Danio rerio: one gene and its partners. The protein of the gene in region 4 binds, or shares a complex with, the protein of the main gene of each other region. Links are inferred from orthologs where the notes say so. Each region holds a gene or a part of one and is shown on either strand. Other genes may lie near its edges.

Region 1 (6,367 bases), on a different chromosome or scaffold from region 4:
GTCTAACAATAGTACAAAAATAGACTAGTCACACACTATAAAAAAATTCAGCAGAATCGTTATGTGTTGGGACAAAATGAATTAATTAATTTAACGTAGTATTCATTCATTCATCATCCTTCGGCTTAGTCCCTTATTTATCAGGGGTTGTGACATCGTAATGAACCGCCAACTATTCCATCATATGTTTTATGCAGCGGATGCCCTTCTAGCCGCAACCCAGTACTAGGAAACCCCCATAAACACTCTGTATGTATGACTGTGAGGTGACAGTGCTAACCACTGAGCCACCATGCCACCATTTAACATACTAGTTTTTACAAATGGATTGAACATAAAGTTTTTTTAACACATAAAAAAACAGTTTTAGCCAGTTTTAAAAAAGTAATATGAACAAACAGCAAATGTATTTTTTTTAAACCAAAAAACAAAATGCTTGCTTGGAAATGATTTGATTAATTTTTCTTAGGGGAAATCCATAGTTTTACAACAAAAAGACATTTTTTGTGTGTGGCAAAGCATTATTTTTGCCACAGTTTTGTAACAGAATGCTAATATTTCACAACAAAATCAACTGTTTTGACAACACAAATGCTCACATTTCAGGAGAGAAGGTGATAGTTTTACAACACACAAGTTTTGCAAGAGAAAGCAAAAAGTATCAATGGAGTACTCCTAAGTAATAAAGTAAAGAAAAAAAACTTTTCTCCCTTTGGCTTTTGTCATCATCACTGTAGTTTTAGAAACAGCACTAAATTTCAACACAAAAAGACCTTGAACATTTTTAAACAAGTAAACAATAAAGGAATAGTTTTATTGAAATTTACCAAATATGAAAAAATACTTTAGCAGTTTTTATAGTAAGTACTTTAGTGATATAATTTGATCTCAAATATTATATATTATAAGTAATAAGGTTTTCAAACCATACTATTGTACGTTTAAATTAATCTGTTGCGCTAACTCAATTAATTGTTTAGGTATTACAACACATGTAGTAACAAACTAGTTTCTTAAATATAAAGGTTTTCTACAACTAAATGGTTTATTATACTACAATACTCCACAGTTTGCTGTTGTAAAACCAAAAGTTAATACAGTATTTATTACAGATTTACAGTTTACTATAGTTAATACTTCACTATGCTGTAGCATTCATTAACAAAGTGTTGTAAATACTATATTACAATCAAAAACACTATAGTATTTACAATAAACTGCTATATAAATTCTTTCATGATGTGGGAAAGCACAAAACAAAATCTCAAAGTTTTAATAAAAATCAACACTTGTAGCAGTGCCTGTAGTTAAAAACAACACACACATTATTATAAAAAACAAAGCATAAAATGTACCTACATAGAGACGGCCATGGCTTTCACATACACTTTCCCCACAGGTAACCGAACAGGTTCAGTGTACTTTAGAGTGCTGTCAGCAAAACCTGGCCTCTTTGTCAGCTCCGGCTTACTGCCGTCCAGCGTGTACAGGACCCTCACATCAGGGGATTCTGGGAAATATACATTATAAAACACATGAAAATCAACAAGACGCAGGCTTGTGCTAAAGAGATCAACCAAAAATGTCATTTCCTCTTACTCAAACGGTTCTAAAATGTTATAAATGTCTTTCTTCTGTTAAACATGAAACAAGACATTCTGAAGAATGTTGTAAACCAGCAGCCATTCACTCCCATAGAAGGAACATATTTTGATTGTCTATTGCTGATGCTTTCCAACATTTTTCAAAATATCTTCTTTTGCGTTCAACAGAAGAAAGTTATTCATAAAACTTAGAATAAGTGGAGGTTGAGAGCTTTTTCATTTTGGGGTGAACTGTATCTTTAGAGCTAAACTGACTCACCTGACTTGATCTCAACAGGAGTGCTGGAGTCTATCTCATGCTTGGCTTTACCTGGAGGAGGAATGCGGATGGGGATTATTTGAGGTGCTGCCACTGATCCTGCAGTCATGTTTGTGCTCTTTAACCTGCAATATAGAAAATAAAATATATCATTAGAATGACATAAAATGCTTAACGTTATACTATTATTAGTGCATTAGGCTACTGGATAATAAGAGCTTACACAGACTATTTTTTGTAGATTGAAGTATCTCTAATCACTTTACAATTGAATTGTAAATATTTCGTATATTTATATTAAATGAGTGTTTTTTTCGATGACACTCGAAGCACACGATGTGTACGGTGTGTACAAGACGCTGTAATGTTAGACTGAACACACAGCTGGCTGCGCTATTGGTGGGTCACGTTACCCATGGCAACTGATTAGTGCGCATGCGCTCATTTCCCACAGTCAAATTTAAAGGGGTAACTCACTCCTCTTGACATTAATTCTGTAGCCATTACTTCATATTATTTTCGTCCATGGAAAACACAATTAGAAAAATTCAAAATCGTTTATTATTTTCTTGAAACGGTCTAAAAGGTTGGCTTTTGATTGACCCAGCTCCCTCTACAGAATTGTGGTAAAATTTTAGATTCACACATTCGGACTTTCCTCAATAATTTAACTTTTTTTTAGTTTTTTTTTGCAAATTATAATATAAAATATTAGCAGCCAATGACTATCTAAGCACAACATTGTTCACAGTCAAATAAATATTGCTAATGTTGTTTTGAAGCCGTGTGACTGAATATTCAAAGTACCATGATAAACAATATAGGGAACATGTCACAACTTGTCACTGAATGAATGTGCCAATATAAAACCAACTTTAGCTCAATCTCTAGGGACCAGTAACTGGATCAGATTTTTATATCAATTTTACTTTACAAATTCTCTATTTGTCTATTTTACCTGAAACAATTTCCCGTGTATTCTCATTAAATAAATTTTAACACATGCGTACTTGATGCAATATTTTAAACAAAGTTTTTTTTTTAAATCATATGTCTTTATGTTTGTAAAAGAACACCCAAATCGCCATTCAGCATAATTTATGTAAAAAAAATTAAAAACATTGTGACCTAAAGCATAAAACAAGATCAATGTAATTCTATTTTGAAAGTACAGCATATATACGTTTTATAAAGCTTAAATTAATTATCAAAAGTACAATTAATTAGTGTGTCACAAAAGTCTTGTGTATTTTACTGGGGTATTATACTATAGACCATTTCAAGGGATGTAAACAATAACAATGGCACTAATGTATTTCCTCTATGACATTTAGAATTTCCATAGCTTCCAAGAATAAAAAAGGACCACAAATTGATAAATAATGTTATAGCAGCTGTTTTAAAGTTAATATATGATTAAATTGATTTGTTACAGTTATGAAGTAGTTCAACAACGAGCAGGAAATGTTCATGGGTCAGTGACATTGCCACATCGAAATGGTCTATTTATAACTCTAAATTATATTTTAACGGGAGTCTTCTACAGTGTTGGAGGTAATGCGCATTACAAGTAACGTGAGTTCCGTGATAGTATTACTTTTCTAAGTAACGAATAAAGTAACACATTACCTTCAGAAATTAAGTAATAAAATTTTAGTTACTTTTTAAAAAGTGTAATGTGAGTTACTTTTTAGTTTAAGTAATTCGCTTTAAAAAAATAAATTGCTGAATTAAAATGAATGCCACACTCGATGAGAGAACGCAGGAACAGACAGACATGAAGATGGCAGAGCTATAAATTTCTGCGATGGAAATATTCTCATTACTTTGAACACATGGAGGAAAAGCAAAAGAGTATCATTTGAATAGATTTTACTCCCAAGACAAAAAGTACTAAAGTAGGAAAAGCATTCTTTTAAACATTCATTATGCACCATGTATAGCTCTGGGCTCAGAAACTGATTCGAAGATAACTTTATCCTACATAATTTTTAGGAATTCAGATTTTTTTTTTTTTTAGGAAAAGAATTTTATACAGTGTGTTGTTAACTGTAGAGCTAAAAAATGAAGAAGAAGAAAAAAAACCTGCAATGTCTGCAAGAGATCAGCCAGCCTCACATAGGTCAAAAAAAGTAAAGCAAAAGTAACATAACGCATTACCTACCATAAAAAGTAACTAAGTAATGTAACTAGTTACTTTTTTGGGGAGTAACTCAATACTGTAAAGCATTACTTTCTGAAGTAACTTTCTCCAACACTGGTCCTCTTTAAATCATGAGGATATTTTAGTCACAGATATACTCCCGTACAGTAGGTGGCGATGTAAATCTTTTGTCTAGATTTGAAGCTTTCAGTTTCTGTTGCCATATCCGTGTTTTATCAACGAATGTAGAATACTTCCGTTATAAATACTAAAAGTCGTGTCTTAACTCCGAAATATAATTGGGTTTGACAAAACAAAATGCTTAATTCTCCGTTAAAAAGAGACAAGCCACCGATGTTGCGATCCTATTTGACAGCAGTCTGATGGGTTATTTTTCGCTGTCTGGCAACCCAGTCGCCTGTAAACTCTCCCCGCCTCTCGCACACTGCAATACCACACGGCGTTTCATCTTAGCTTTAAATGGGTCTATGAATGTATTGTTTTGTTGACACTAGGTCTAATACTCCAGTAACTCCAGTCTGATGCACAATGACAGAAGTTAAAGTCAAAAAAGAGTCAACGGACCCTGTAGATATCGAGAATAGGTGAGTTGAACGCAGTTAACGTTACACTATTCTTGCGCATGCGGCCTGTTGACGTTAACAAAACACCGTAGGACAACGTGTAAAGTTACATGGATTTAAAAAAGCAATTAAAGTTTCCATCAAATGTATTGTCTTTTTTTGCCACGTGTACATGTTTAGATACCGAAAAGTCTGACAACATGAAGCAAAATCTCTTTCTTAGTAACTTAGAGAGCTTCGTTGCATTTCATGTACGTTTTGAATGACGAAGTTTTAATAGTGTATGAGTTTGTAAACAACCTCTTTATTAGTATTATTTTAGATGAAGAACAATACATTGCATTTATGTATGTCTATTTAATGCGATATGTTTATTGGCTTGAAGTACTAGTTCAGAATTACGTCAGCAAAATGCATTAAAGTATTTTTGTTGATAAAATAAAAGTGCATCCTTTACATGTTCATCCTTTTCACAAAGACAATACGTTTTTGTTTGTTAGATAGTGTTTCCTGTCTTGCAGCACAGAGGATGCTGGGAAATGTAGTTGTTTGCTGATGTTTGCTGTGTTTTCCTCTTCTGTCATAGGATAAAAGAGTTGTGTCAGCAGTTTCCACATGGGATCACAGACCAGGTCATCCAGAATGACATGCCTCACGTTGAGGCGCAGCAGCGAGCCACGGCCATCAATAGACTGCTGTCTGTGGTGAGATGTTCAGCTCCATCTTACTGTAACAGAATGAAACATGCGTTCCTGCACTTTATATTTATGTCTGATTGTTCTTTTCTGTCCTCAGGGTCAATTAGACTTGCTCAGAAACAGCAGCGGGCTTTTATATAGGCTTAAAGATACCCAGTCTGCAAGGTTTGTGTGTCAATATTCACACACAACACTCAGATTTGTTCAGTTTATAGTAATTAATGTATAAATGAAAAGAATATGAAGTTCACACACACAAAATATATATACACATGCAAGTTTAGTGAGCAAAAACTAATTCTAATAAATACATACATATACATGCACAGACATTTATGATCAAATCAATTCGTTACAATAAAGGCAATACATGTCATATGTGCGTACAAATTTAGGACATTTATGTAAGTTCAGATTTATTAAAATTATCTTCTCAAAGTTCATGCAAATTTGCACATTAAGAAAATGATTTAGTATTAGTAAATGTAAAATAAATAAATGTATAATTAAGTTCATTTCTTTGTTTGTTTCTGTTTATTTTGACAGCAAGGTAAAAGGCTCTGATAACCAAGAGAAACTAGTGTACCAGATCATAGAAGATGCTGGAAATAAAGGTAAAATGCTTATTTATCATCAGGGCCAGACAGAATCTGCGGAAGTTTTTTTCCAGTCTTTACAAACTGCATTGTGCATAAATCAGATGAACATTTTCATATTAGTCCGTAATATTTCTGTAATTAATTAAAAAAAACTGAATAAGTATAGATTTACACACATTTACCCAAGTAAATAAACGGAATTAATGATGGGCTAAAAATCTGGAGAAATCTGCGGAAAATCTGCGGAAAATCTGGAATTCTGCGAAAAATCTGCGAAAATCTGTGTGTGCAGATTTCGTGTGGGCCTATTTATCATTCATCTGTAGCAATGTATATTTAAATCTAAAATAAACTACTGTTTCATATTGATTAGAATATTTAGTTTAATAATTTTCTTCCTATTTGTTTTGTAAAGGAATTTGGAGCAGAGACATCAGATATAAGAGTAACCTTCCACTCACTGAAATCAATAAAATCCTC
Region 2 (6,401 bases), on a different chromosome or scaffold from region 4:
ATTACAATATTAAATTATGTGTTTGAAAATGTATCCAGGAACTTGAAACCTAAAAATAAAGATCACTTTTTTTGGGGGGGAGAAATTAAGATATAGCTAGATTATATGCAAACTTTATTCAAAACAAACAGATCTCAGAGGGAGTCTGAATACTTGTTTTCTTGCTTTATTTCCCCCCTAACTCTTTTATATACTTTAAAAAAGTTATGAAAGTTGTTCAAACTTTTCTAGAAGAGAAATTAAAACTTTTTTTAAAAAGTTGTATGGAAAAATGATTATCAGTAGGAGACGAACAAAGGAGAAGCTGAACATCAGCTTTGAAGATGCTTTAATAATAGGATATTAGTTTGTTCAAACTGTTTTGTGCACGATTATTAAACACAATTGTACATTTTAAAGAACTAATCTTTGAGCTTTACTTTTAAACACTCCTAAAATGGCTAGTGAAGTCGTGGAAACAACGGTTTTTACCTAATAACATGATCTCCAGTTTTTTTCGGTCCACTCGGAACCTCTCCTCGGTCCACTCGGGGTCCGGAGGCGCCGTGGGTCCGCTGGAGTCATCCTCAGACACGGGCAGCGGGGAGTCGGTGCTGCGCTCGCTGTTGGAGCCCGGGTCAGACTGCTGTAAGTATCCGCTTAATGGTTCGCACTGAGCGGCCATGACTTTCACAGAGCACCGCTGACTCTCCGCAGCCTCAAATCAGATCATTCCCGCGGAGAGTGAGCGCCAGTCATCGCGGGCTCTGTGTGAGTTACTCTGACCGACCGGAGGAGTATAAAGTGAGGCAGGCAAAAGTTGAGCGCCGCCCTTTGTTCAATATGAGCCAGAAGGGTGGATGGAAGGGGTCTGTGTCCCAAAACTTATTAAAGTGCCCACTTGACACCGTTCAGCTCCTGTTACGCCATAAATATGATGTTGATAAGTCTGACTCTTAAGTAACATTTCGAGAGTTTTTTTGGGGCAATACCAGTGTATAAATTAAATTAAAAAATTTGTTTATTATTTTATAATTAATTGTGTATTATTTAAATTATTAAATAGAAATATATTTTACAAATATTGAATATATTTTACAAAAAACAAAACTATATAAATTATTTCAGAAACATTAGTTGCAAATTGCACAAATATAAACTTTAAATGTATTTACATTATTTTAATGAACAATATTTATTCATTATTGTGAAAAACTAGATATTATATTATATTATTATATCTTTTTCTAACAGGAATGATAAGCTCTCTGCTAGCAAAATATATAATATAATATAATATAATATAATATAATATAATATAATATAATATAATATAATATAATATAATATAATATAAATAGGAATAAAAAAGTGAGGGCAGCCAAAAGTTGAGTGCCGCCCTTTGTTCAATATGAGTTAGAAGAAGGGTGGATGGAAGGGGTCTGTGTCCCAAAACTTACTGAAGTGGTTACTTTTACAACAGTTTTTTATAAAATATGTTTTTATTTTTCACCTTTTCATTTTAGTTTTATTTTATACTTGTTAATGCATAATATTCAAAATAAATGTATTGTACAAATATTGAGTATATTTTACACAAAACACGAAATTTCATAGACAGTAGTTTTAAAATTCAGTCCGATAATAAACCATTTTATGACACAAAAGAGACCATATAAAAGGAATGAAATAAACTTTAAATAAATATGTTTAAAATGTTTGTGCATTAAATTAAAACTATAAATAAATATGTTTAAAATGTTTGTGCATTAAATTAAAATTTACCATTTACAATTTTAAAGAGTATTTATGAAATACAGTCCAGAGTTATTATAGTATATCATTATATAGGCCTAATACAATATGATATTTATAAAAATAGCTATAAATATATATGTAAATAGATTTGAAACAAAATGTTTATTTATTGTTCAGATAAAATAACCGTTAAAAACAAAATATTTAAAATTAGTTCATTATTATTTAATATACAGCACTTATAATTTTTTTTAAGTTAAAAGTTTATTAATATTTTATTAATTGAGAGTTTATTAACAAAACCATCATGATGACACCATAAGACTAAATGGACAAATAAAAACTTTAAATATATTTTATTTATTTTTATTAAAAAATTTGTTATTGTGATAAATATAATATAAAATGATATAATAATATAAAATAAAATATAATATAGATGATATATAAAATAATAATATGTAAATATTAAAAAATGATATATAATATAATATAATATAATATAATATAATATAATATAATATAATATAATATAATATAAAATGTCTGAGTAATCTTTTCCTAACAGAGGGCTCGTGTCACGTGACCAATGATGCTCCTGCAAGGATGTAGCTGTCAGCTGGAAGAGTTCGGCAGATATGATGTGAGCAGTTTACACAAATTTCAAGTACGTATAGTATTTATTTTCACTTATCTCTAATGCAGCCGTGCGCAGCATTTTTAAATATGTCCGTCTAAATGTCATAAAGTGCTATGAAAGGCTTTGTTTTGATAGCATAGGTTGCTAACAAAATGGAGGCGCGCGCGTCTTGAAATCCAAGTCAGCGCACATTTAGTGTATTTTGAACGAGCGTTTCTCTTGGAAAATTAAGGTTTTCACCTTTGTTTGAGTCTGAGTAATCACATATTGCACGCTGCTCAGTAGGGTTTGTTGTTTGTGTGTTTGGCAGGATGTGTGATCATGGAGATGGGGACGCGGAGGCGAGCTCATCTTCCACTTTCAGACCGTCTTTTGCTCTGGGCAACGTTAAAGGACTGCCAGGGAGAATTTCACACAATCCTCCTCCACCAGGCAGACTGACCTCCCTGCGGTCCAGAGACCTGACCCTGGGAGGATTTAAAAAGGTTACTCATTCTAATACCTTTTTAATGCTGTTTTTAATCTTTAACAAAGACAAAAGATTGGTTTAAAGGGATAGTTCACGCAAAAAAATAAAAATTCTGTCATCATTTACTTACTCTTTCCTTGTTTCAAACCTTTAACGTTATTCGTTTCTGTCTTGTGTTGAATTTATTGAATTACTTGTTTGTGTTTTGGATGTTTATTGTTTTGTCCATGTTTGGGCTCTTGCCCTCAGCTGCAGTCATCACAAGACAAATTTCCCTAACTGGGACAATAAAGTTTTACCTTACCTTACCTTAAACACAAAATAAATAATTATGAAAAATGCTGGAAACCTGTAACTATTATTGAGATTTTAAATTTGGTTTTGTATTCGCTCGTTCATTCAGAACTTGTGATATGATCATTAGGCATGGGCCGATACAAGATTCTGACGGGATGATAACCTTGGATAAAAAATATCACGGTTTCACAGTATTGTGATTACTTCTCTAAAATATATTCTTTTTAAATCTCTGGGTAAAAAACAAACTTTTTTTCCACTTTAAATACAAAAAATTTACTTTGAGAAACATTTTAAATATTTTCCAACAGTAAACATGTCAGGCTACAGTAAATAATTAAAACAAGTCTTTGACTTCTGCTGTCTTCATTAGTTTCAAAAACTCAAATTTCTTTACAATTTAAAGTAGCACCTTTAGATATGTTTTTGTTGTCGGAGATTTGTCCTAAAAAAAAACAAAACAAAAAAAAATAAAAAAAAAACGAGATAAAATAAATAATAATTAAAATATAAATAAAAAAAACAAACAAATACATACCTTAGGAAACGGTATAGCAAAAGATTTCGGCAGTTTTAAAACCTTGATTTTTCCAAACCGCAGTACACCTCGAAAACGGTTATTGTCCCATGCCTAATGCTCACTATATCGTTTACGGTAACTTGGTTAAGTTAGTTTTATATTCACACATTCATGCTTTCTCCTTAATAATATAACTAGAGAAAAGTATTGTTTGCAAATTCTAAATAATGAATTAATATTAGCAGCCAACAACTGTCAAAGGGAAACATTAACAACTAAAGTCAGTTAAATAGTGCCAATGTTGTTTTGAAGACATCCTTACATGCTATTTCAGACTGAATAGTCAAAGTAGCTTGTTGAACAATACAGGGAGCGTGTCACAAGTTGTCGCTGTTAAAAACTGAACAATCGTGCGAATACAAAATCAACTTTACCTTAGTATTGTTTACCATAGTACTTTATCAGGAATATTAGGACTGAAATCACATGTAACTTCAAAACAACATTAGCACTATTTATTTGGCTGTGGACAATGTTGTATAATTGTGATACAACATTAATAAAACAATAATACTTGTTTGAAATTATATTATTAAGGAGAAAGTCAGAATGTGCGAAAATAAAACTAACTTTACCACATTGTAACCAGTGATTTTCTTAGTATTTGTTTTTCCTACTATGGTGGTCAATGGTTACAGGTTTTCAACATATTCAAAATATCAAATTTTGTTTAATTGAAGAAAGAAATGTATAATGGTTTGTGGGTGAGTTCATTATTACATTTAAAATATTCAGTGAACTATTCCTTTAACTTATGTTACTTGCATTGTGCTTTTTTACAATAAAAACATGGTTTCAAACCTGCTTTGGAGAAAATTATGAAGAAAATGTAAATGTGCAGCGCATTTTTTTAAAACCATAACCATTAGGATATATTTGTATAATACAATTTAACATGATCACATAACATGATAACATGATCTATCTATCTATCTATCTATCTAATAAATGCAGGTTAAATTTACATGAATGCACCTGTTACTTTAAATTACACTAGAATAATATTATTTTACCCATATTCTTGACATTTTACTTTCTCTAAAGTCTGAGACATCAAATTATAGACACTTCATTACATTGAATATTCTTTTTAATATTAAATTAAATTAAATTTTTTGTAAATTGTTTTTAATGCAGACATCAAATTAGGTCATCATGTCAATGCCTCATACTATGTTTATACTTGTCAGTTTATTAGAATTTTAGTCTAATTACTATCTGGTCATGTGTAATAAATATGAGTGTTACTTTAATAATGAACCAAGCAATTATTAATTGACTCGCTGTGTTTTTATTTCCCTTGCAGAAAACCTTTGTTCCAAATGTTCACTCCGTTCGCAAAAGTAAAGATGAGTAAGTATTTTTAAAGATCTCATTCTATTGCTTTGTTTGGTATTTGTAGTACTCGTGCTCAATATAATTCTTCTTCATTTTGATAGGGCTTTTTATAATGGAGATTTTGTCAAAGCAGCAAACTGTGTTCTGGGGTTGGGAGTTAGAATATGCCTTGTAAATATGGCTAAATTGCATAACTATAAATATTTAAATACATTAATAATGCTATACACACACGGATGGATATATATATACACTCACTGGCCACTTTATTAGGTACACCTTACTAGGACTGGATTGGACTCCCTTTTGCCTTCAGAACTGCCTTAATCCTTCGTGGCATAGATTCTGGAAATATTCCTCAGAGATTTTGGTCCATATTGACATGATGGCATCATGCAGTTGGTGCATATTTGTTGGCTGCACATCCATGATGTGAATCTCCCGTTCCCCCACATCCCAAAGGTGCTCTATTGGATTGAGATCTGGTGACTGTGGAGGTCATTCGAGTACAGTGAACTCATTGTCATGTTCAAGAAACCAGCCTGAGATGATTTGCACTTAATGACAAGGCAAGTTATTCTGCTGAAAGTAGCCATCAGAAGATGGGTACACTGTGGTCATAAAGGGATGGACATGGTCAGCAACAATACTCAAGTAGGCTGTGGCGTTGACACAATGCTCAATTGATACTAATGAGCTCATAGTGTGCCAAGAAAATATCCCCCACACCATTACACCAGCATCACCAGCCTGAACCTTTGTTACTAGGTAGGACGCTTGTAACAAGAGGCTTTCATGTTGTTGATGCCAAATACTGACCCGACCATCCGAATGTTGCAGCTGAAATTGAGACTCATCGGACCAGACAACATTTTCCAATCATCTTTTGTCCAAATTTTTTAGCTGACAGGAGTGGCACCATGTCTACATGCCTAAATGCATTGAGTTGCTGCCATGCGATTGGCTGATCAGAAATTTGCGCTTCCGAGCAGTTGGAAAGGTGTACCTAATAAAGGGAAATGTATGTTATATACAGTGCTCAACATAAATATATACACTTCGTTTTGAAAATGAATATTTTTATCAATTTCTCAGTGAATATAGGTCATGTGTTTTGATGCATTTAAACAAAACAGATTTATTAAACAGATATATTTATTAAAATAATATTTTAGTTGCCGAACAGCATTAGAAATAGAAAGATAATACATTAAAAATAATGCTAAATATTGGAAAGGAAATTACAAACGACAAAATAAAAAAATAATAATCTATTATTTTTTTTCTTTTTCTTTTTTTGCTCTTTTTATTTATTTTTTAAATACATTTTTTCTCTAACA
Region 3 (6,230 bases), on a different chromosome or scaffold from region 4:
AAAGTGTATGAAAAAAAGATGTGAAGACTCATACCAGCTGGATCTCAACAGCAGTCTGAGGTCTGTGGTTTAAGAGCTGCAGCTTCTCTGCTCTTTGAACAGAAATAGAAAAGAAGTTAACAGGCTGCTTTTTTCACAAGCTAAAATAAAAAATCTGATAAACTAACACTAGACTCATTGTCAAGTGCAAAACCAGCAACTCACACGTGTACTGGTTTCAGAAACATCACAACACAAACCTTCACAATGGTGCATCTCAAACCCAGAATTACAAAGTCACTGCAATGCACTGTATTTACTGTGGCTTTCACACAGTTTGAGGCTTTAAGGTTTTTCCTTTCAAAGAGGTGATTCAGTGCACAAGTTTTAAATGCATGCTTACAAAATAAGAGAAAAAATAAAAAGTACTTAGTAAGTTTGTGAGGCAGCATGGCGGTGAGGAACTCCTTCACTGTCTCTGGTTTCTGATGAACACATGGCGTCTTAGAGAGGTACTTCAGGGTCTGTTGAGGCAGAGATTTCAGACGTTAAAGGGCATGACTGAGCAACACAATCTCAAATCTTTGCCTTGTTTTGGAGATAAGGCTGTGCAATATGACAATTTGTACAGGGGTTGGACAATGAAACTAAAACATTGGCCAATTTAGTGTTGGAGGTTTCATGGCAGGTGATTATGCATTCCACCAGTAAGAGCAGAGTGTGAAGGTGTAATTAGGAGAGTAAAAGCACGGTTTTGCTTAAAAAGTTTTAAATGCACACAACATTATGGGTGACATTTTGGAGTTCAAAAGAGGACAAATTGGTGTGCGTCTCGCTGGCGTATCTCTGACCAAGACAGCAAGTTGTGATGTATCAAGAGCCACGGTCTCCTGAGTAATGTTAGCATACCACCAAAAAGGATGAATCACATCCAACAGTAGTAACTGTGGATGCAAGAGCTGTCTGAAAGGGATGTCAGGGTGCTAACCTGGATTGTATCCAAAAATACATAGAACCACAGCTGCCCAACTCGCTGCAGAATTAAACGTGCACCTCAACTATCCTCTTTCTACAAAACTGTTTGTCGGGAGCTCCACAGGGTCAATATACATGACCGAGCTGATATAGCCCAACCTTTGGTCACTCACGCAAATGCCAAACATCGGTTTCAATGGTGCCAGCAGCAAAAATCTTGGTTTGTGGACAATGTGAAAGATGTATTGTTCCTTGATGAGTCCACATTCCCTGTCTATTCCACATGGAAAGAGTTACGGTGTGGAGAAGCCCCAAATAAGCGTACCACCAAGAGTGAAGCGTGAGGGTGGATCAGTGACGGTTTGGGCTGCAATATCATGGCATTCTCTAGGCCCAATACTTATGCTAAGTGGGAATGTCGCTGCCTAGGACTACCAAAATATTCTGGAGGACCATGTGCACTCCTGAAGCCAGTGTCGTGTATCAGGATGATTATGCAACAAGACTCACAGCAAGACTGGTGACAGAGTGGTTTGATGAACATGAAAGTAACGTTGAACATCTCTCATGGCCTGCACATTCACCAGATCTAAATATTATTGAGCCACTCTGGAGTGTTTTGGGGGAGCAAGGTAGAAAACATTTTCCCCACCAGCATTACAAAGTAACCTGGCCACTATTCTGCAAGAAGAATGGCTTAAATCCCTTTGGCCACTGTGCAGGACTTGTATCTGTCATTTCCAAGACCAATTGATGCTGTATTGGCTGGGCTGCAAAAGGAGGCCCTAGACCAGGGATGTCAAACTCAATTCCTGGTGGGCCGCAGCCCTGTACAGTTTAGTTCCAACCCTAATTAAACACACCTGATCAAACTAATTAAGTCCTTCAGGCTTGTTTAAAACCTACAGGTAAGTGTGTTGGAGCAGGGTTGGAACTAAACTGTGCAGGGCTGCGGCCCTCCAGGAATTGAGTTTGACATCCCTGCCCTACACCATACTAATGAATTATAAATTAATCTAAAACCAGGAGTTTCAATTTCATTGTCCAACCCCTGTGTGTGTGTGTACACATATACACACACACACACACACACACACACACACACATATACACACATATACACACATATACACACACATATATATATATATATATAGTTTATTTTGTGGAGTTAACAGTAATACTTGTATATGCGTGTTGACCAGATCATCCCTGCATCATAAGAAAGTTGCAATCTTGAAAGTACAATGTTTACATTATTTAGCAATGTTGGACCTGTAATCATTGGTTTTTGAAAAGTGTTTTATATACTTTATTAATATGTGCTTTATATTTATACCTTCTCAATCAAATATTTGCCCTGAAATTCTAAATAAAGGGAGGAATATGATCACATACGAGTATATCTCTGAGTATGTACTTTAAATTGTAAAAAAAAATAAATCTAGATAAAGTCTTTTACATGTGGTCAATACAAACTATTAATGAATTGAATTTTAGAAATGTTACTATATAGTAAGATATATATCGTTATCAATATATGAGATGACATATCATTATACATGATTTGTCATATCACCTAGTCCAATTTGGAGGTGTTTGTTTATTTATTAATTTATTATTTATTGCCACATCAGCAACTTATGGCTATTTCGTGGCAAAATGGATATTCATAAAATATTACATGAAAAAACGAATTCGTATTACAATAAAAAAAGTTACTTACACGAATATAAAAAATATAAATACAAAAAAATTCACACAAAAAAAATATTCAAAGTCAAATATGATTTTTCAGTTAATTTTTTAATTAATAATTTAAAACTCTTCCTGATGGTACCTTTTTAAAAGTGTCCACTGAAGTACCCTCTTTAAAATAATTTTGTCTAATGGAATTTAAACTTCTACATTCCAACAAAACATGTTTTATGGTAAGAGCAGCCTGGCAGTAATTACATTTACGTAGTGCTTCTTTTTTCAGTAAATATAAATGTGTCAACTTAAAATCCAATCCTCCAATTCCACATCTGGTGTAGGCCATCTGATCATGCCTAGTCTGAAAATTATAATTTGCTAAACGTCTTTCATTTATTTTCGGGTTAATTTCATGCAATTTATTATTTATGCAGTTGTCCCATTCTCTTTGCCATGTTTCGTTTATGAACAAATGGACTGTGGGTTTCAAGTCCTCAGGAGGAATTAAACATTCTGTCACATTCAAGGAGATAGCCTGTTTTGCTGCATCTGGAGATGTTTGTTAGATCACATCAAAAAACAAGCACCTCATACATGATGGTGTTGAGATTCTGCTGCCCGGTGCTGTGCTTATTTTTAACCATCTCCTTTCTTTTTTCTTTCAGGTCTGTCAGCAGCTGATAGACCTGGTGGAGTAGAGAACACTTCTATAGCCACAAACAATAAAAAGTACACTTTTTGTTTTTTTATTCGAAAGTTTTAAAATTCATACTGACCTCATAATTGCTCAGCATAGCAGCATTGGCATCCCTCCTACAAAAGAATACTATTAATATTATTATTAGTTTACTTTAAATCATGTACAGTAACCGGAAATTAATAAATGAGTACAATGTGCAGAAGGTACAGTAAAAAATATTTCAACATTTACCGTTTTTAATATAAAAGATTAACAACGTTTATTTTTGTTCAGTTTCTAAAATTACTAATGTATTGTCATCTCTTAAAAATTTGATTCTTAAATTTTGATTTAACACTGTTAGATCACTGTTTAGAGTTTGTATTTACAAGCAAAACTAGTCAGAGACACACTAAATCCATTGGCTATAAATTTAAAACTTTAAAGACTATGTGAAGGGCTTGTGGATAAGATTTTTAAGACGTATTCTGTGAATCATGTTTACACCTAAAAAACACAGTAGGAATTACAACATAACGTTATGCAGTTTGTCGTTATAACGAGGATGTCCACGTGAGCAGCATTCCATTGTCATTGTTATCCTGCAAAGTAGTTTTCCCCGTCAGACCACCACATAATAAGTATTTTAACTAAAAAGGGAAAATAAATGTTCTCGAATATAAACATATAAAAGTAAAATATGTTGCTTACACTTCCATCCTGCTCGCTTTGTTGGTTCAACATCTAACAACAATCCGTCGAGAAAACGAAGCTGTGTTAAACGTTCCCCCTCAGTCGTCTTGTTCAAATCGGTTCAAATGCTACAAATATTTAAAACAGATAAGATTTCAATATTTTTTGTTTACTATGTATAGATTATAATTGCACCAACAATGAATTAATAGAATGTATATATATATATATATATATATATATATATATATATATATATATATATATATATATATATATATATATATATATATATATATATTTTAGGTAAAATGACAGTATTGCATATTGTTGGTATAGATAAACCCTGATGAATGAAGAACAAGATCTAGTCTCGGACCATAATGCAAATTTTAGTTGTAAATGATACCATCAAGGTATTTCCAAAAATTAAGATTGAAATCTGTATGTTATCTAAATAAGGCTGCAGGCTGCTTTAAATGGCGTAGTATTGGTTAAAATGATTAAACAGCTAAATTAAACATATGATGAAAAATTGGTTAATGTTTTTTCCCCTAATATTCATTTTACGTTATATCCTAAACACATCCTAAAACTAATGACATAAATCACAAGTTCTCTGTGGACGAATTTATTTTATAAATACATGAAAGCATTATTCTTTCATTTTCCTTCAGCTTAGTCCCTTTATTCATCAGCGGTTGCCACTGCGGAATGAACCGCCAACTTATACAGCATATGTTTTACATAGCTGATGCACTTCCAGCTGCAATCCAGTACTGCGAAACATCCATACACACTTTATTAACAATCACCCACATATGGACCGGAGCAAAACACACGTCAACACGGGGAGAACATGCAAACTCCACACAGACATGCCACCTTGCTGTGAGGCCACAGTGCTTTCCACTGAGCCACCGTGTCGCCCCATTAAAGCATTATCTTTCATTTTAATTAGACAATGACGCCATCCATCGTCCATGACCGTCACTGCATGCTGATTTATAAAAGTGTATTTTCCTTAAGAGAGGCGGTTCTGTAGCCTTCGGTATAGTTGACGGGATTGGTTACTCAAATGAACGACAGCTCCCGAAAAATCGCGCTTATGATTTTGATTAGTTCACAAACACCTCATTTGCATATTATGGGCGGGGCGTGCTTGGTCCCAAAATAAACGAGGAGGAAATGCAGTCCGGTCGCTGTTGGATGTGCAGGCTCTTACTGTAATTTATCCCTCGAATACTTAAAAGCACTGATTTGTTCCTTTAATTATATGACATTTCCTCATTCTGTTTGAATCATACGCTTTAGTTTTCCGTTTGCTCATCGCACGTAGGTCGCTACTCTAGAGACTGTTACAATGGCAAGTTCAGAGGTAAATATAGCTATTTAATTTCTGATTTTGCACGTGTTTCATAGTTACAAGCCTTTTAAGAAAAGTCCTAATGTCTATTTTATGACAGGGAAATAAACTATGGGGTGGTCGCTTTGTGGGAAACACCGACCCTATAATGGAAAAGTTCAACGCGTCAATCTCGTACGACCAGCGAATGTGGAAGGCTGATATTAAAGGGAGTAAAGCTTATGTAAAAGCTTTACAGAAAGCAAGCCTTGTAACCCAAAACGAGATGGAACAGATTCTTACAGGCCTTGACAAGGTGATAACATTTTATTCACCACGTTACCTCAACTAAAAACCAGTTTGGTTGCTTACTTTCAGGTTATATGTGTTTGTGTGTGTGTTTTGTTTTTGCAATGTCAGTTTCTTTTTGAAACTTTAGCCTATATGATGCTCCTTGGTAAATATTCACCTGGGTACTGTACCACAGTCCATTTCACCCTTTGGCACCAACGCTTAATGCATAACAGACAAAAATATGTCCTGACACAGACACAATAACAATAGACATGTGACTGTTGATGATGCCTATTGTAAACCGCAGAGCCCTGTTGCCCAAAACAAGTTGAACAAACTTCGGGTTGCAGAGTAAGATTTAAGTTGACAAAACCAACCTAAAGATCAGGTTAAATTATTTCTTAATGCTTTATAAACCCTTCTCTGTTAACTCAAGGTTTAATGCAGAGTTTGTGATTAACTTTGAATAGGATGCAGCTAGGATTGTGACACGTAAACATGACACATTAGAGGGTGAGTTTGATTTATTTCCTGCATGGAAGTCATCAATTTACTTCCCTGTTACTTACT
Region 4 (6,387 bases):
AGGCAGATTATAAAGCCACATTAGACAGTCGGCTTGGTTTTCACTAACCACTGACATGTCCTCTGGTGAGTTTAGCATGATCTGATTTGTTTCGATCTTTCTCTGGAGCTCTTCAAAAAGATATTATATAAGGATGCCCAGAATGAAGTCATGCAATTCAGTGTATTTTACTACTGTAATAGATTATGCCTTGAACCCTGCAACGGTGCATAAATGCATGCACACATAAAAAATGTGCTTAAAACGTATAATGTTGCATACACTGGCACAGTAGTTACAAGTAATTACAAGCCCACCTTCTTGTAATATATGGGTTGGTGTGACCGCTTTCACTCTGTATTGCCTGGCTCTCCATCCAGGCGAAGGAACCTCCACAATCTCGCGGTCAGAGAGCCATGTCACGGTCTCGAAGTTGTCACCGTTGGCCAGAGCGTCCACCTCCGCTTTGTGCACGCCCACCTGTTGAAACTGATGCAGCCCACCCGAATGATCAAAATGCACATGTGTGCCGATGGCCAACAGCGGGTTTTTACGCTTCGCGTCGTCCCCGAGCAGCGATTTCTCTTGGATGTATTCAGGCAGGCTCCGTAAACCCAGGCCGGTGTCTATGACGACGTCCTGATGAGAACCGCGAATGAGCCAGATATTCGCCCTGTTCCCCGATTCATAAAACCGTTCCTGGATCCAAAACACGCCGTTTTCCAGCGACTTGTGCGCGTACCAGTCGGTCGCAGCCATCCCAAATTCATTCAAGATGTTGTTATTGCATACGAGGATAGATGTATGGTTGTTAGCCTATAATTCTGGCTTCAAATTTTGCTGCTTCAGCCGCAGAGAGGAGGACGCTGACACCCTGTTCCGCAAGCGTAACACGTCACCAGCCATAACGACGTGACGCGCCGTAGAATCGAGAATGCTATTGGCCATTGATGAAATTAGCGCCTCCCAAGTTATGCATATTAATAATAAAGCACAAGCGGTATTTAATTAATTGCCTATTTGTACTTAATGCGTCTGAAAGCTGTAAAGGTAAGTGGTTGCTATTTGAATATGTTTTTTTTTCTGTTGCTGCTCCGCGACGGAGCGTAATGGAGATTTAAATAAGTAAAACGTAATGGATATTTAAATAAGTAAAACATTATATCTGCATTTATTTACCCAAATGCTGTTACAATGTATCTTGTATGTTAAATACAATGTTTCAATCATATATCTCGTATTTCTTACAAAGATACAAGTGTATTGTTGTAACATGCTGCGTTTTTGCGAGGTGAATTCTACTCAAATAGTAAAGTAGCCTAATATTAATCGTATTCAGGTGTGCTTTGGCAACTCAGAAATTAAAAGACGATCAAACGAGGGTTGTTAGTCTAAGTTTACTAATGCCAAACAGTTATTTTGGGGAAAAATAAATAAATATACTAAATTAACTAAACGACTAAATAAATAAAAAAAAGAGGAAACCAAACACATCAGAGTTGCTTGTCTCGAGAACAATTATGCATAGATTTCCTTAATGCATAATTTAAAATACTGTTAAAAATAAATAACAATAAATGACTGTAAATTACAAATAATTAAATAATAAATGAATAAATACATCCTTTATATAAACAGTGCATTATGCCCTGTTTTATGTTCTTGCATTTACAGTTGCATAACAATTAAATACACTACTTGAAACTATTGATTTAATTAAGTTTTATAGTTTAAAAGAAAATAAATTACATATGATTGCTCAAATTCATGTAGCAGTTCAATAATTCATTTTTTTTAATCCACCTTTCAAGAAAATCTAAATTAACATATTTGAAATGTTATTTTATGTGCATTACTGAACAATCTCATTCTGTATTTTATGAACATTTCCTGCTTGTTATCAAACTATTTCATAACTGTAAAAGAGGCACTTCAACCATATCATAATGTTAAAACCGCTGTCATAACATTATTTATCAATATGTGGCTCTTTTTGGATTCTCGGAAGCTATACAAGTTAAACATGTAAAACAGGAAATATGCTAAGACCATTGTTTTTGTTTACATCCTTCAAAAATACTACAAAGGGACATATTATATTGATTGACAGTTTTGCATCACTATTCATGACATCACCATCCAGTGACATCACAGTGTAGTCCTCACATCCTCATAGTGTTTAGCATGTATAAGCAATATGGATTGAAAAGTAGTCAACAACATCCTAGCTATTGGTTCTTAGATGCCAGCTAACAAATCTTGACACTATGCAATTAAAACGACATGTATCTCACTGTTATATTATATTACATAATATTTGCTTGTTGGGCGACGCAGTGGCACAGTAGGTAGTGCTGTCACCTCACAGCAAGAAGGTCGCTGGTTCAAGCCTCAGCTGGGTCGGTTGGCATTCCAGTATGGAGTCTGCATGTTCTCCCAGCATTCGCGTGGGTTTCCTCCGGGTGCTCAGGTTTCCATAACAGTCCAAAGACATGTGGTACAGGTGAATTGGGTAGGTCAAATTGTCCGTAGTGTATGAGTGGGAATGAGAGTGTATGGATGTTTCCCAGGGAGGGGTTTGGCTAGAATGGCATTCGCTGCGTAAAAACATGCTGGATAAGTTGGCGGTTCATTCCGCTGTGGTGACCCCAGGTTAATAAATGGACTAAGCCGACAAGAAAATGAGTGAATGAATATTTGCTTGTTTATTAAACTAATATAAAATTATTTCATCCAAATGATTTTAGAGAAAATTTATCTGATCAGAAATGGCTGGAAAGGGAAGAGGTGTAGCAGCATTCTCCTTCAACATAGAGTCCCTGGGTCTAACCAGAGGATCCATGCCTGAAACCCAAAGAGGACCAGCTCCACTCTTCCCAGTGAGCTATTCTGAACCATTTGTTATTATTCTTCCATCAATTTCCCAAATGGATATTTCTCTTTCCATCCATTCTTTCTCAAAACTTTAAAAATCTGATTCAGCAAGGTCAGAAAGTGTTTATTCAGAAGGTTCAGTTTTAAAGACACACGACTCCACCTTACAGCAAATCGAATATAAACCGGGGCCTTTGAAAGCTGGCGAAGATGAAGATTATATGAGAGCTTTGAAACAAGAGATGAGAGGACGAATGAAGGACCTTCCTTTTAACATAAAGCACCATGCAGGAAAGGGAGGTGAGATGGAGCTTTTATTTAATTTTAGGAACACACAATACCTATTGCCTCCTACAACGAGTCTAATAATTTAGATAATTGTAAAATTAGATGAGTATGAGTTAATGCACTGGGGGCAATGCTATGTTTTAACTCACCTAGAAACAATAAATCCATTTAACTATATGTTTAAGTGAAATAGTATAACTGATATGGTATAGTTTGACCATGAGTCACAACTACTGTATATGAAGAGTTTGGATGCAAAAAAAGTGTTGTCTGAAATTTCCATCAGAAATGAACGTTTTTCTCAGCCTCTTTTTCTTTTTTATTTTGTAAGATATTTTACTTTCAAGACCAGGAAAAGGGCTCATTCTTTGCCATAAAAGTGATATTACTGAACATACACACAGGAGACTGATAAAAATACTCATTTTAGATGAAAATTTCAGATGGCATTTAGAGGTTTTTGCATCTTAACTCTTCATATATTTATTATTGTAAGCATATCAGTATTTTTCACGATGTTATTGTGTGTGATTTAAAGATGTGGAGAGGTACAAGGAAAAATACACGCGGGAAATAAAGAAACTTGAAGATGAAGACTGGACACCAGGTATTCATTTAAATGAAATAGGCTAAATAGGGCTGGGCGATTTAATGGAAAAGTAATTGAAATCGAAAGCTTTAGAACCTATAATCGATATATGATTTATAACGATCTAATTTTTATAGGTCAGTTTTTTTTTTTCAATTACTTTCCCTGTCATGTGTGGAGTCATGTGACCTCGCTCTGTTAGCCACACTTTGCAGCCACATCTGATCTCTGGTCAAGTAGGACGATGGATCCATTCTTGAGCCATACTTTGGACTATGTTGACGATAATTGGAAGCTGTGCCAGAGATGCCTTGATGGCATATTTTCCATTACATTCAAATGATTATTTACATTAAAATATTTGTTTATAGAAGATGCAAGAAATGCCCTGTTTAAAATATTATTTACAGGATATGAAAGTTATTTTATTTAGAAGAGATACTGCTTATTTCCTACTTTTTTATATGAAAAACACTGAAAATATTTTTTTTTGTTTTTCAAATAAGTTATTTTCACTTTTTATAAGAAAAAAAGTGACTGTTTGTTTTAAACAATGTGTGTTTTAATTTTAGTTGTTCAACATTGATGTTCAATAAATAATCATAGATAGTAGATAGTGTTTCATTCAATTATTATTATTTTTTAAATCAAGTAATACACCCTTCATTCAAATATTACTTACTTGTAATATGTGAGCATATTTACTGTAGAAAACCTGTCAGTGAACCTTGAGGACAAAATAATAAAACAAATTAATCAAATATTTGGTCATTAATGGTAATAGTTAAAATGTTTCTTCAAATCGACCAGCCCTAAGGCTGAGTAATTTCAACTAAATTGTAGATATTCTTTGTAGATTGGAATCGTCTTCCGAAGGAGCTAAAACCACAGAAGAGCATAAAGAAGAAGAAAAGGGGTAATTGTATCGAGATGTAGAATCCCTAAACAAACTGCAGTTTTGAATGACTCATACACTTAAATACTTTCAGATCTGAAGAAATCCGTAAAAATCTCTACTAAGGACAAAGAAGAAGTGCTGAATAAGTTGGATGTGAGCTCGTGCTGTTTTCATCTTCTCGATTTACTGTAAACAGATATTTTTGGTTGGAGCCATCTCATTTGCGCTTGTTTTTATTTCCAGGAACTTGAGAAGAAGGGAGATGTCAAATCTGATGAGGAGGATGAAGTGAAGAAAGAAAAGAAAGAGGATGACGAGGAAGGAGAGGAAGCAGAAATTGAAGGAGACTATGATGAAGAGTTTGAAGAGGTATACGCTTTTATTTCAGGGAGCATTTTTATTTATTGTTTGTTGAATACATGTAATAGGCATCCAAACATGGCTAAAACTTGGCTAAAATAAGGCTACATTTGACCCTTGACACGTCTTACATTTTACTTTTCTGTCAAATACCATTAAGATATTAAAATTGATATTAAAATATGAAATTGATATTAAGGATTTTTTTCTTTGGTAAATTTCCCATGGTAAATATATTAGAATCAAGTTTGGTTTAATGGATATTGCTAAGCACATAATTTAGTCAAATTTTAAGGTTATTTTCTCAATCTTTTGATTTTTACAATCTCTCAGATTCCAGATTTTCAAGTAGTTGCATAGACTAAATCATCTCAAACTGAATTCCTGGAGGGATGAAGGTGTTCATGACTAAATCTGGAATATGAGGGTTTGTAAAAATTTAAATATTGAGAAAAAAACCTTTATTGGGTTTGAGACCTATGGACTAAATATTGTCTTATCCCAGGGGTGTCCAAAGTCGGCCCTGGAGGGGCAGTGTACTGCTGAATTTAGCTCCAACTTGCTTCAACACATCTGCCATGCAGTTTTTATTAACTGACCAAACCTATATCTGCGATCACGAGTTCGTGCCTACGCATTCTGTCGTACATCGTTGCGAAATGGGGCGGGATTAAACAAGATGATTCGACATTTGAAAAAAAAAAGCGAGCGATTAGTCCACATTTTAAATTCCTGTCCAGAGAGATCGTGTTTTGATCCTCGATTGGTGTCACGCAGTCAAGTGATGCGATTTGACACACTAACTTGCATTTCCGGTCTGACGCATTCGGGTGCATATGAATGGAAGTCTATGGGGAGAAAAGTCCAGTGTGACCGCAGCTATTCCTGAGATCCACCTTCCTGCAGATTTCAGTTGCAACCTAAATAAAACCCACCTGCCTGTAATTATCATGTGCCGTCTATCAATAGGTTCAGGTGTTTGATCAGTTTGAGTTGAACCCTACAGGAAGGTAAATCTCCTGGTTGAGGGTTAAGCAACCCTGTTCTATTATATCTAGTAAGCGCTTGATTAGCTGGTTCAGATGTGTTTGATTAGGGTTGGAGCTAAACTCTCCAGGACACCGGCCCTCCAACACTGGGTTTGGACACCCCTGTCTTATCCTAAAAAAAAATTAAAACCTTACAAAAATGGAAAGCTTCATATAGCTTTTAGATGATGCATGCATCACTGGTGACACTGGTTTTGTGTTCCAGGGTCACAGATTTGTGCTGTCAGTGAGAATCTAATATGTCAAACAAAAGAACAAAAATAGACTAGTCATCAAATAGATGGGAAAGATTGACTACACATGAAGTCTGTCTATTTGATGACTATTGATAGATTTCCACTGACAGCCCA

What was found. The genes of interacting proteins can lie anywhere in the genome.
Region 1: polr3g (region 4) and polr3f share a complex: the UniProt entries of both Homo sapiens proteins name them as parts of the RNA polymerase III complex. The link is inferred for Danio rerio from reciprocal best matches to the Homo sapiens genes POLR3G and POLR3F.
Region 2: polr3g (region 4) and zgc:171971 share a complex: the UniProt entries of both Homo sapiens proteins name them as parts of the RNA polymerase III complex. The link is inferred for Danio rerio from reciprocal best matches to the Homo sapiens genes POLR3G and POLR3D.
Region 3: polr3g (region 4) and crcp share a complex: the UniProt entries of both Homo sapiens proteins name them as parts of the RNA polymerase III complex. The link is inferred for Danio rerio from reciprocal best matches to the Homo sapiens genes POLR3G and CRCP.

The regions. Positions count from the first base shown.
Region 1 is NC_133197.1:25,887,252-25,893,618, reverse strand, and holds the start of polr3f (DNA-directed RNA polymerase III subunit RPC6), read left to right. Parts: upstream 1-2,287; 5' UTR 2,288-2,489; intron 2,490-4,426; exon of another isoform or gene 4,427-4,555; coding exon of another isoform or gene 4,556-4,611; intron 4,612-5,176; coding exon of another isoform or gene 5,177-5,237; coding exon 5,238-5,294; intron 5,295-5,385; coding exon 5,386-5,453; intron 5,454-5,834; coding exon 5,835-5,902; intron 5,903-6,302; coding exon 6,303-6,367. Other genes in the region: dzank1 (double zinc ribbon and ankyrin repeat-containing protein 1), read right to left, coding at 1,360-1,510, 1,864-1,972. UniProt on the Homo sapiens protein: DNA-dependent RNA polymerase catalyzes the transcription of DNA into RNA using the four ribonucleoside triphosphates as substrates.
Region 2 is NC_133187.1:7,834,395-7,840,795, reverse strand, and holds the start of zgc:171971 (uncharacterized protein), read left to right. Parts: upstream 1-2,321; 5' UTR 2,322-2,375; coding exon of another isoform or gene 2,376-2,380; 5' UTR 2,381-2,404; intron 2,405-2,687; coding exon of another isoform or gene 2,688-2,688; coding exon 2,689-2,862; intron 2,863-5,029; coding exon 5,030-5,076; intron 5,077-6,401. Other genes in the region: zgc:110716 (uncharacterized protein LOC550248), read right to left, coding at 472-664. UniProt on the Homo sapiens protein: DNA-dependent RNA polymerase catalyzes the transcription of DNA into RNA using the four ribonucleoside triphosphates as substrates.
Region 3 is NC_133196.1:33,905,510-33,911,739, forward strand, and holds the start of crcp (DNA-directed RNA polymerase III subunit RPC9), read right to left. Parts: upstream 4,081-6,230; 5' UTR 4,048-4,080; coding exon of another isoform or gene 4,040-4,047; intron 3,476-4,039; 5' UTR 3,463-3,475; coding exon of another isoform or gene 3,444-3,462; coding exon 3,426-3,443; intron 3,336-3,425; coding exon 3,237-3,335; intron 504-3,236; coding exon 409-503; intron 93-408; coding exon 35-92; intron 1-34. Other genes in the region: asl (argininosuccinate lyase), read left to right, coding at 5,385-5,399, 5,488-5,682. UniProt on the Homo sapiens protein: DNA-dependent RNA polymerase catalyzes the transcription of DNA into RNA using the four ribonucleoside triphosphates as substrates.
Region 4 is NC_133180.1:52,722,674-52,729,060, forward strand, and holds the start of polr3g (DNA-directed RNA polymerase III subunit RPC7), read left to right. Parts: upstream 1-2,727; 5' UTR 2,728-2,747; coding exon 2,748-2,858; intron 2,859-3,023; coding exon 3,024-3,153; intron 3,154-3,679; coding exon 3,680-3,748; intron 3,749-4,586; coding exon 4,587-4,651; intron 4,652-4,719; coding exon of another isoform or gene 4,720-4,727; coding exon 4,728-4,781; intron 4,782-4,871; coding exon 4,872-4,997; intron 4,998-6,387. Other genes in the region: acyl-coenzyme A thioesterase MBLAC2, read right to left, coding at 297-738. UniProt on the Homo sapiens protein: DNA-dependent RNA polymerase catalyzes the transcription of DNA into RNA using the four ribonucleoside triphosphates as substrates.